Linked DNA regions of Caenorhabditis elegans. The main gene of each other region encodes a partner of the protein of the gene in region 2 in a complex. Each region holds a gene or a part of one and is shown on either strand. Other genes may lie near its edges. The genes, in order: hmg-3 and spt-16.

Region 1 (3,927 bases), 5.0 Mb from region 2:
TTTTTGGTTCAATATTCTCTTCATCTGGATCAGATTCTCCAGTTCCTGAAGCATCTTTCTCTGAGCCAGAATCATATTCATCGTCAGGTTCACTTCCAGAACCTTCTGATGAGTCTTTGTCATTCTTCTGCTTCTTCATATCCTTATCCAAATCATAATCCTCATCAGTACTTTCATCATCGCTGTCATCATCTTGTTCACGACCCTCTGCTTTCACAGTTGACTTGTATGGATCGATATCATCTTCATCGCTGCTTCCATAACCAGCTGATTTGTTATCGATACGATGAGAATTGCGAATTTTGATCTCTTTCTTGTTTAGATAGTCGAATAGTTTGTTGTTCTCTTCTTTATCCATTGCACTGAAAGTCAACGATGATCCAGTTTTCAGATCAATCTCAAAATCAAAAGTTCTTGTTACAGTTCCGCTATCAGAACGTGCGAAATGACATGAGCTAATCTCTTCAAAGCGAATGTACATGACCGGCTTTTGAATAAACAAAAATCCCTTTTCCATTGGGTACAACAATCCAAGGTTCTGACGATGTGTACATTGTATGGCAGGAGTGCCCGAACTTCCGAGGAATCGTCCAGGAACGGTGACTTTCAGATTGCAAATTGATTTGAAGAGAATTGAGATTGTCTCATAGATTGGTCCAGTCATTTCACGTTGAAGATTTCCATTGAAATAGTCGAGTTGTTCACTGAAATACTCTCAAATTATTGGACGGCAATATAAAATATATTTGAGTGGCACGGAATTGTTCCCAGAAAATTCTGAAATAAACTCACTCAGTCAACGACAACTCCAAATCTTCTTCTTCATCCTTCCCAAACTCGAAAATGAGATAACTGTAGTGTGTCTGTCCCTGGCGAATGGGTGGGTTCAACGACAACACAAAATATACTTGGCGTCCATCTTTATGAGGAACCAAGAATAGACGATTGATCGTTTTGACAGGAATCTTGTAATCGTACGTCTTTCCGTGGAGTGCAATACTTGTCGGATAAACTTTAATATCATATCTTCCACGAGGTGTTGTGCACAGAATATCAGTGAGAAGGCATATTGGTTGCTCAGTTTCAGCCTCCAATCCAGCATATGCCAGCACTGCTTTCTTGAATTCTTCTACTTTATCAGTATCCTCCTCATTTTCTAGATCAACTGGCATATGGAATCTCATCTCCATCAGCTGAACTTTGCTTTGTTCATTCTGATGGAACTCCAAAATAGCCTCATTTTTGTTGGCAATGACGTTTGACACATTCGTGCACGGAATTTCGAAAATCGGTTCATTTTCCCATGAAAATTCAATATTTTTGCCTTTGACATCGGCCTGCCCATAGTTCCATCCATTGATGAAAAGATTTGATTGATTGATAGATTTAGACCAGTTAGAAGAAGTGAACGATTGGATTTTCTGAAGATCCTGAAATTTCGAATTTGAATAAAATGAGACTACAAACGTATAAAAATAAAGAAAACGAACAACAAACTAACATCATCCAAGAATCCTCCGAAGCGGTGAGCACCTCCATCACTAAGACCAACGCGTAGTCCCGGCTTGTTGCCAAGCTTTTGCCATTTCAGTTTATCGACGTCGGTTCCTGTGATGTAAACTGATTTTCCACCCTTATCGCCTATGAAGTTAATCGAATTTTCAGTCAATGTAAGCGTTCCGCATGTTAAATGGCCTATATCCTCCACGTAAACTCCCTTGAATTTGAGCTCAGTCATTCTGAAACTTGTCAGTCAATAACGCGTGTAAAGAAAAGAAGCGAAAAACGTCCGCGAACAAGAAAAGTCCGGAAAAGAATGAAAAAAATGAATTCTCGAAAAATGCACTCTAATTTTTTCGCGCGTCGAACCGAAAACAAAGAACTACGGTAGTCGATCATACGTGAACACCGAAGTATACTGTATACGCAAGCACCGCATCTGACGACCGTTTCTATTAATTTTATTATTTTTTTAATAATTGACTAATTTTGACAAATAAATTGACAAATTACTATTACGACAAATTACGACAAATAACGGTAAAAGTTGTGGCACGTCAAATTTTTTCCTGCATACAAAATAGTTAAATTATCAAATAATATTTATTTCATCTTTTCAACAACCAAGAAGCAGTACCAAATATATTAAGTTTTTAACAAACTTCAAATAATATAATTTTTGGTACTGTAACAGCCTAACAAACAACATCAATTGGAAATTCAAAAAGAAACAGTATATAGCCCGAACGAGAGAGTGAGATAGAGAATTAAATTCACACCTGGAGGAAGAGATCAGTAAGAAATGATCAGACTTTGAGAACATGAATAGAAAATGATAGTAACGGGGGAAGGGGACTTTAAACAAGTATTTTGAATCTATATTGATTCATAAGACAGGAATAAAGTTTTGTGAGAATTCAGAACCGGTTGGAAGCGTGTCCAGACACCGAATCGGTTCTGAATTTATCAGAAGTAATATATTTGTTATTGATTGAGATACGGTCCCAATCTCATGAGCAATCGATCGCAGAGTCCTATCTCTTGTAGATGTGTTTGAGACAGTTGATGGCGTAATCCTTGACAATAACTCGTAAAAATCTGAAAAAGGTTAACTTTCTTGGCGCAATATTTACTTTCTTGAGTGTTATGGTAGGGATTAATTGTGTCATTTGGGAATATTCCGACAATTTTGGCATTATGCCAAACAATTACTTACCTCAGCGACACCTCCATTGACTATTTGAAGTATATGAATTCCAGAGAGAAGTGCAACTTCACAATCATTGAATACTGTATTACGAATGCCGCCACGAAGCAAATTTACTGGATTCTCACAGGAATAGAAAGTGATTGGATCAAATGTGAAAGCCGCACGAATAGCCAAGATACCACTCATCACTTTTTGAATACTCATTTCAAGTGCTTTTTCATCTTTTGGCAAAAGTGAGCTCAAAGCTGGAACTGATTCAATAAATTTCTTAATTGCTCCAATAGCATGAGTTCCCGATGTTAAGTGAGTAGAGCATGGCATGTTTGCAACAAAGGCGGCCGTAAGCTCTTTCACTTGTGATGTCATCTCAAAATTGGGCGAAGCCACTGATGGTTTAACATCTTTATCAGTTTCTTTGTTCACTCGAACGTTGTCACGATTCATTCCAACTGCGAGGCATTTGGCAAATCGACAAGCTTGACAACGAGTACGTACTCCACGATTTGCCGCACAATTTTCATATGAGAACTGAAAAATATAATAGCATATTTTTGAAATGCTTGTCTAATTAAACTCACTGTGCAATTTTCTCCTTTGGTACAAACATATGCGATATTCTTGTGAACACTTCTTCTGAAAAATCCCTTGCATCCTTCACAACTCTGTACTCCATAATGATATCCAGTAGAGTTATCACCACAAACCATACATCTATCCTTTTTAAAGAACTCACTCCAAGCATTCATTGTGAGATTATAGTTTGAAAAGTCTGGAGCAAACTGTGGCATTTGTGGAACTACTGTCATTGGTGTGTTAGTACGGTCATATGGAGTACCACGTGGCTTTTTTGTTGAAGCAGATGACGCTGGGAATGTGTTACGACGAACAGAACTGTTCTCTTTATCATCGGCTTCATTTCCGTTGTCTGGAGAACTTTGAGTCGAAGAAAGAATATTATTAATTGCATATGGTGAGATTTCTTCTTTTTCTGGTTTTGCTTGTTGAAGTGGAGTCAATTGCATTTGTGGCTGATTATGGTAGTTTGGAGTGGTTGCGCTGAAAAATTGAATTTAACGTTTTTACTATAGAAAGGATAAAGTAATCTTCCAGTCATCGTTGCCTTATTTATTAATTTAGTAACTCGCTGAAACGTAGAATTCCCTCGGCATACTGTACAACCGTGTTCTCAAATTCCGCTAAATCTGACTCTATTGTTC
Region 2 (3,927 bases):
CTTTTTCGGTGAGAATCTCGTTATCGCCTTCTTCTTTAACCAAAATTGTATCCGAGATTGCAATTGCGGCGGGTTTTCCTTTTTCTCCTTTATTTTTGTTTGGAATACTATCGACACCAATATAAACGATGAAGACCATTCCTGCTTTGACAACCTCGTCACACTTCGCACTGATAGCAAGACGACTCTCACGGAATTCGATTCCAGTCGCAAATCCAAGCTCTTTCTTGTTCAGAGTTTCAGCAAGTTTTGGACTTTTCTCCGTCAATGTATCGATTCCAATTTTATAAACATCGCTCAGCTTGGCTCCTGGCTTCAGAGCAGCAATTACTGCCAGCTCGGCGGCAAGAATCGCTTCATAGGCAGTCTCAAGTTCAGAAGATGGGAAGATGAGCATAGTTCGCGTCAAATTTGTGCAATATTCTGATAAACGAGCTCCGAACGAAGTGATGATCGTTCCAAACTGGCTGTGAAGATGAGATTCCGAGCTTTCATGATTCCATTTGAACGAGTAATTTCCACCGGACATTACGATTGGATCATAGCATGTGTCGGCTTCATACTTGGCCAGTGCCTGTTGTACTTTTGAATCCTTCATGAAGGCGGCAAACTCATTGGAGAGAACAGAGTGACGGACTCGCTGCAAAAATAAAAAAGAATTATTTTCTCGGGATTAAAACAGTGGTTTTCCCAGGAGTACTAAAAAATGAGCCAGTTATTGGTGATAGATAAAAGGAAAAACAGTTTAGTCATCTAAAAATAGCTTTACATTTAATTGAAACAACTGGAAGAACGCTCAAAAACTGCATGAAAGTTTAATTTTCGGGTGATTTCCAACTTTCAGATTGATTTTGAGCAGTTCTTCCGCTTTTTCAATTGAATTAAAAGCTATTTTCAGATACATCAACTGCTTCATTATATTCTATCACCAAAAACTGGCTAATTATGTAGAAATGCTTGCAGCGGACTCCTGGTTCAACTATTTTCAGAACGATAAGCACCTTTTCTTGATCAATGATCTCTACGTAGCGAGCTCTTGCAGCTGTCCATGATGCGGTTGTAGCTTGTGCTGATTTTCGAATCAAATCCATCTCCTTATCGTCTTTCACTGCGAACAGATGAGTAAACGCGAGAGTGACGTCATTCTTATTGACACCGCCTTCCTCGAGCGCCTTATTCCACGAACTGACGAATTCCGAGCTGAATTTCTCTTTGACGAAATTTCCAACATCTCCGCCGGCACTTTTGATGTGATCGATGAGCTTTTCAAAGTTTCCAGCGTCTTTGTCGGTTTTATCGCGGAGCAGTGTGCTGACTGTTGGCACTTTTCCTGAGCTCTGATTGTCTCCAGTGACTGATCCGAAGAATTCGACTTTGCGATTACTTCCGAGAATGTAAATGTGATCTTTGAGAAGCAACAGGACTGTGTCAGCGATTTCGTGGCCAAACAGCCAGGTCTGAAATAAAAATTTGTCTTGAGTTTGAACAAATTCTGAAAAATCCTTACAAATAGTGCGCTGGTCTTTGTATATGGATTATCAGTCTCTCCGTATACAAAAGCAAGTGATTTGATCGAATCTAGACCATCGGCTCCCTTCTCCTGTAAAATATTTGATTAAAAATTCGTAAAGTCCTGAAAGTCACAAACCCAGTGCTCATAAAGCCTCTCCGCTCTCTGGAAAAAGAGATCCTTGTTGAGAACTGCCCGTTTTCCAGACATTTCTCCCCTGAAAGTTAGAAATTGTGTTAAAGTCACGAGGATTGAGAGATGGAAGCAAAAATCGATAACGTAAACAAAGTGACCAGCAACGGATTCGGATAGGCTAAAAGTTTGAAATTTGCGAAAAAATTAATTTTTTTTGACACAATTTTAAAATTTTGAAAAAAACGTTTTGACGAGACAAATATTTTTTCACTGAAGAACTGTAAACTCTGAAAAATTAGAGCTGAAAGTGAGGATTGCGCGCGAAAAAGAATGGAATGAAGTTGGGCGTGGTCAAGGAACGCAACAGCCGCACGCACTTTCGCAACCACTCCGCATGCAATATTCCCGCCATGTTATTTACGGAGGGGCCATGTGAGAGTACACAATTGTGATGAATTCTTGAAGAAACATCAATTCCAGCGAGAGTTCAGAAAGTGGAGTTTCTGTAGGGTAGAAGATGTGGAATAAGTGATGAGATTATGTTGAGCGGGATGTAGGATGTCAGAAGAATCGTTGAAAAGAACAGAGTTGTAGATACAACAAGTCTTCGGAAATGCCGCGTGAACGGTAGATCAATTATTTCTTGAATTGGATTAAAGTCGGGATCGTTGAGATTTCTCATAAACCATAGTACACCAGGACGAAGGATTTCTCGAAGAAGAATCACAAATGACGCTGAATAAAATACATAAATCATTCCAACCATCCAATGAAGGAATATTGACATGAATGGAGCTGTGGCAAATGTTGCAATTCTTTGTGATAATGTTATATTGAATAATGGAAGTGTACAAACATCCATCCAACATCCACACATTACAGGGAAAAATCCAATTTCCAAGAATACCAGCAAGAAGACTATAATGATAAGGAGAGATGGCATTTGGGAACTAGTTTCAGATTCGGAATGCTAAAATATATTGAAGTTAAAGTCGACTTTTAGCAATTATTACGCCGGCAATTGCGAAAAATCCTGAAAGAAAAGTTTAATATTTTTCCTTTTCAGATAATCAAAGTTACAAATCCGGTTGTAATCCTACGATAGTGCCTACAATATTTCAGGCCTTGAAACGCAGACAACAGTAAAATTATAAGAACTTTAGAAAATTTTGAGGAGTTTAGCTCTACATCTGTCAATTTGGTATAAATTATCTGTTTTCTGAAAAATAAAGTATTTAACTATTTTAACAGCGGTCCACAAGAGAAACGGACGAAATATTTGAAGAAATTTTAAAAATTTAAAAAAAAACCGCGATAGGGTTGGTTAAAGGGACATCGGCTTACTCGGATGGGTCTCGACACGATTGTGGTTTTGCGTTGTTGTCGACGAACATTTTTGAATTCTAATTTTTTCCCTATTTTTTTGCCATAAAAGCTGTAGAATTGCTATATTTTTAAAATGTTTTCCATCGAAAAATTGTGAGATTGAGTTTGAAAATTACCGAGTTCCATTTTATTTTCATTGGATCTGTTTTTGATAGTTTTTACTTTTTTACAAATATTTTACAGGAGAAGGGAGCCGATGGTCTAGATTCGATCAAATCACTTGCTTTTGTATACGGAGAGACTGATAATCCATATACAAAGACCAGCGAACTATTTGTAAGGATTTTTCAGACTTTGTTCAAACTCAAGACAAATTTTTATTTCAGACCTGGCTTTTTGGCCACGAAATCGCTGACACAGTCCTGTTGCTTCTCAATGATCACATTTACATTCTCGGAAGTAATCGCAAAGTCGAATTCTTCGGATCAGTCACTGGAGACAATCAGAGCTCAGGAAAAGTGCCAACAGTCAGCACACTGCTCCGCGATAAAACCGATAAAGACGCTGGAAACTTTGAAAAGCTCATTGATCACATCAAAAGTGCAGGCGGAGATGTTGGAAATTTCGTCAAAGAGAAATTCAGCTCGGAATTCGTCAGTTCGTGGAATAAGGCGCTCGAGGAAGGCGGTGTCAATAAGAATGACGTTACTCTCGCGTTTACTCATCTGTTCGCAGTTAAAGACGATAAGGAGATGGATTTGATTCGAAAATCAGCACAGGCTACAACCGCATCATGGACAGCTGCGAGAGCTCGCTACGTGGAGATCAGTGATAATGAAAAGGTGCTTATCGTTCTGAAAATAGTTGAACTGGGAGTTCTTTTGGTGATAGAATGTAGAGAAACAGTTTGTGTATCTGAAAATAGCTTTTTAATTCAATTGGACAAACGGAAGAAG

The links.
Region 1: spt-16 (region 2) and hmg-3 share a complex: the UniProt entries of both Caenorhabditis elegans proteins name them as parts of the FACT complex.

The regions. Positions count from the first base shown.
Region 1 is NC_003279.8:5,816,388-5,820,314, forward strand, and holds the start of hmg-3 (FACT complex subunit ssrp1-B), read right to left. Parts: upstream 1,746-3,927; 5' UTR 1,739-1,745; coding exon 1,502-1,738; intron 1,431-1,501; coding exon 793-1,430; intron 705-792; coding exon 1-704. Other genes in the region: Nuclear hormone receptor family member nhr-2, read right to left, coding at 2,485-2,598, 2,717-3,238, 3,289-3,766. UniProt on the Caenorhabditis elegans protein: Component of the FACT complex, a general chromatin factor that acts to reorganize nucleosomes. The FACT complex is involved in multiple processes that require DNA as a template such as mRNA elongation, DNA replication and DNA repair.
Region 2 is NC_003279.8:10,786,930-10,790,856, reverse strand, and holds the start of spt-16 (FACT complex subunit spt-16), read right to left. Parts: upstream 1,728-3,927; 5' UTR 1,721-1,727; coding exon 1,649-1,720; intron 1,601-1,648; coding exon 1,508-1,600; intron 1,458-1,507; coding exon 1,002-1,457; intron 641-1,001; coding exon 1-640. UniProt on the Caenorhabditis elegans protein: Component of the FACT complex, a general chromatin factor that acts to reorganize nucleosomes. The FACT complex is involved in multiple processes that require DNA as a template such as mRNA elongation, DNA replication and DNA repair.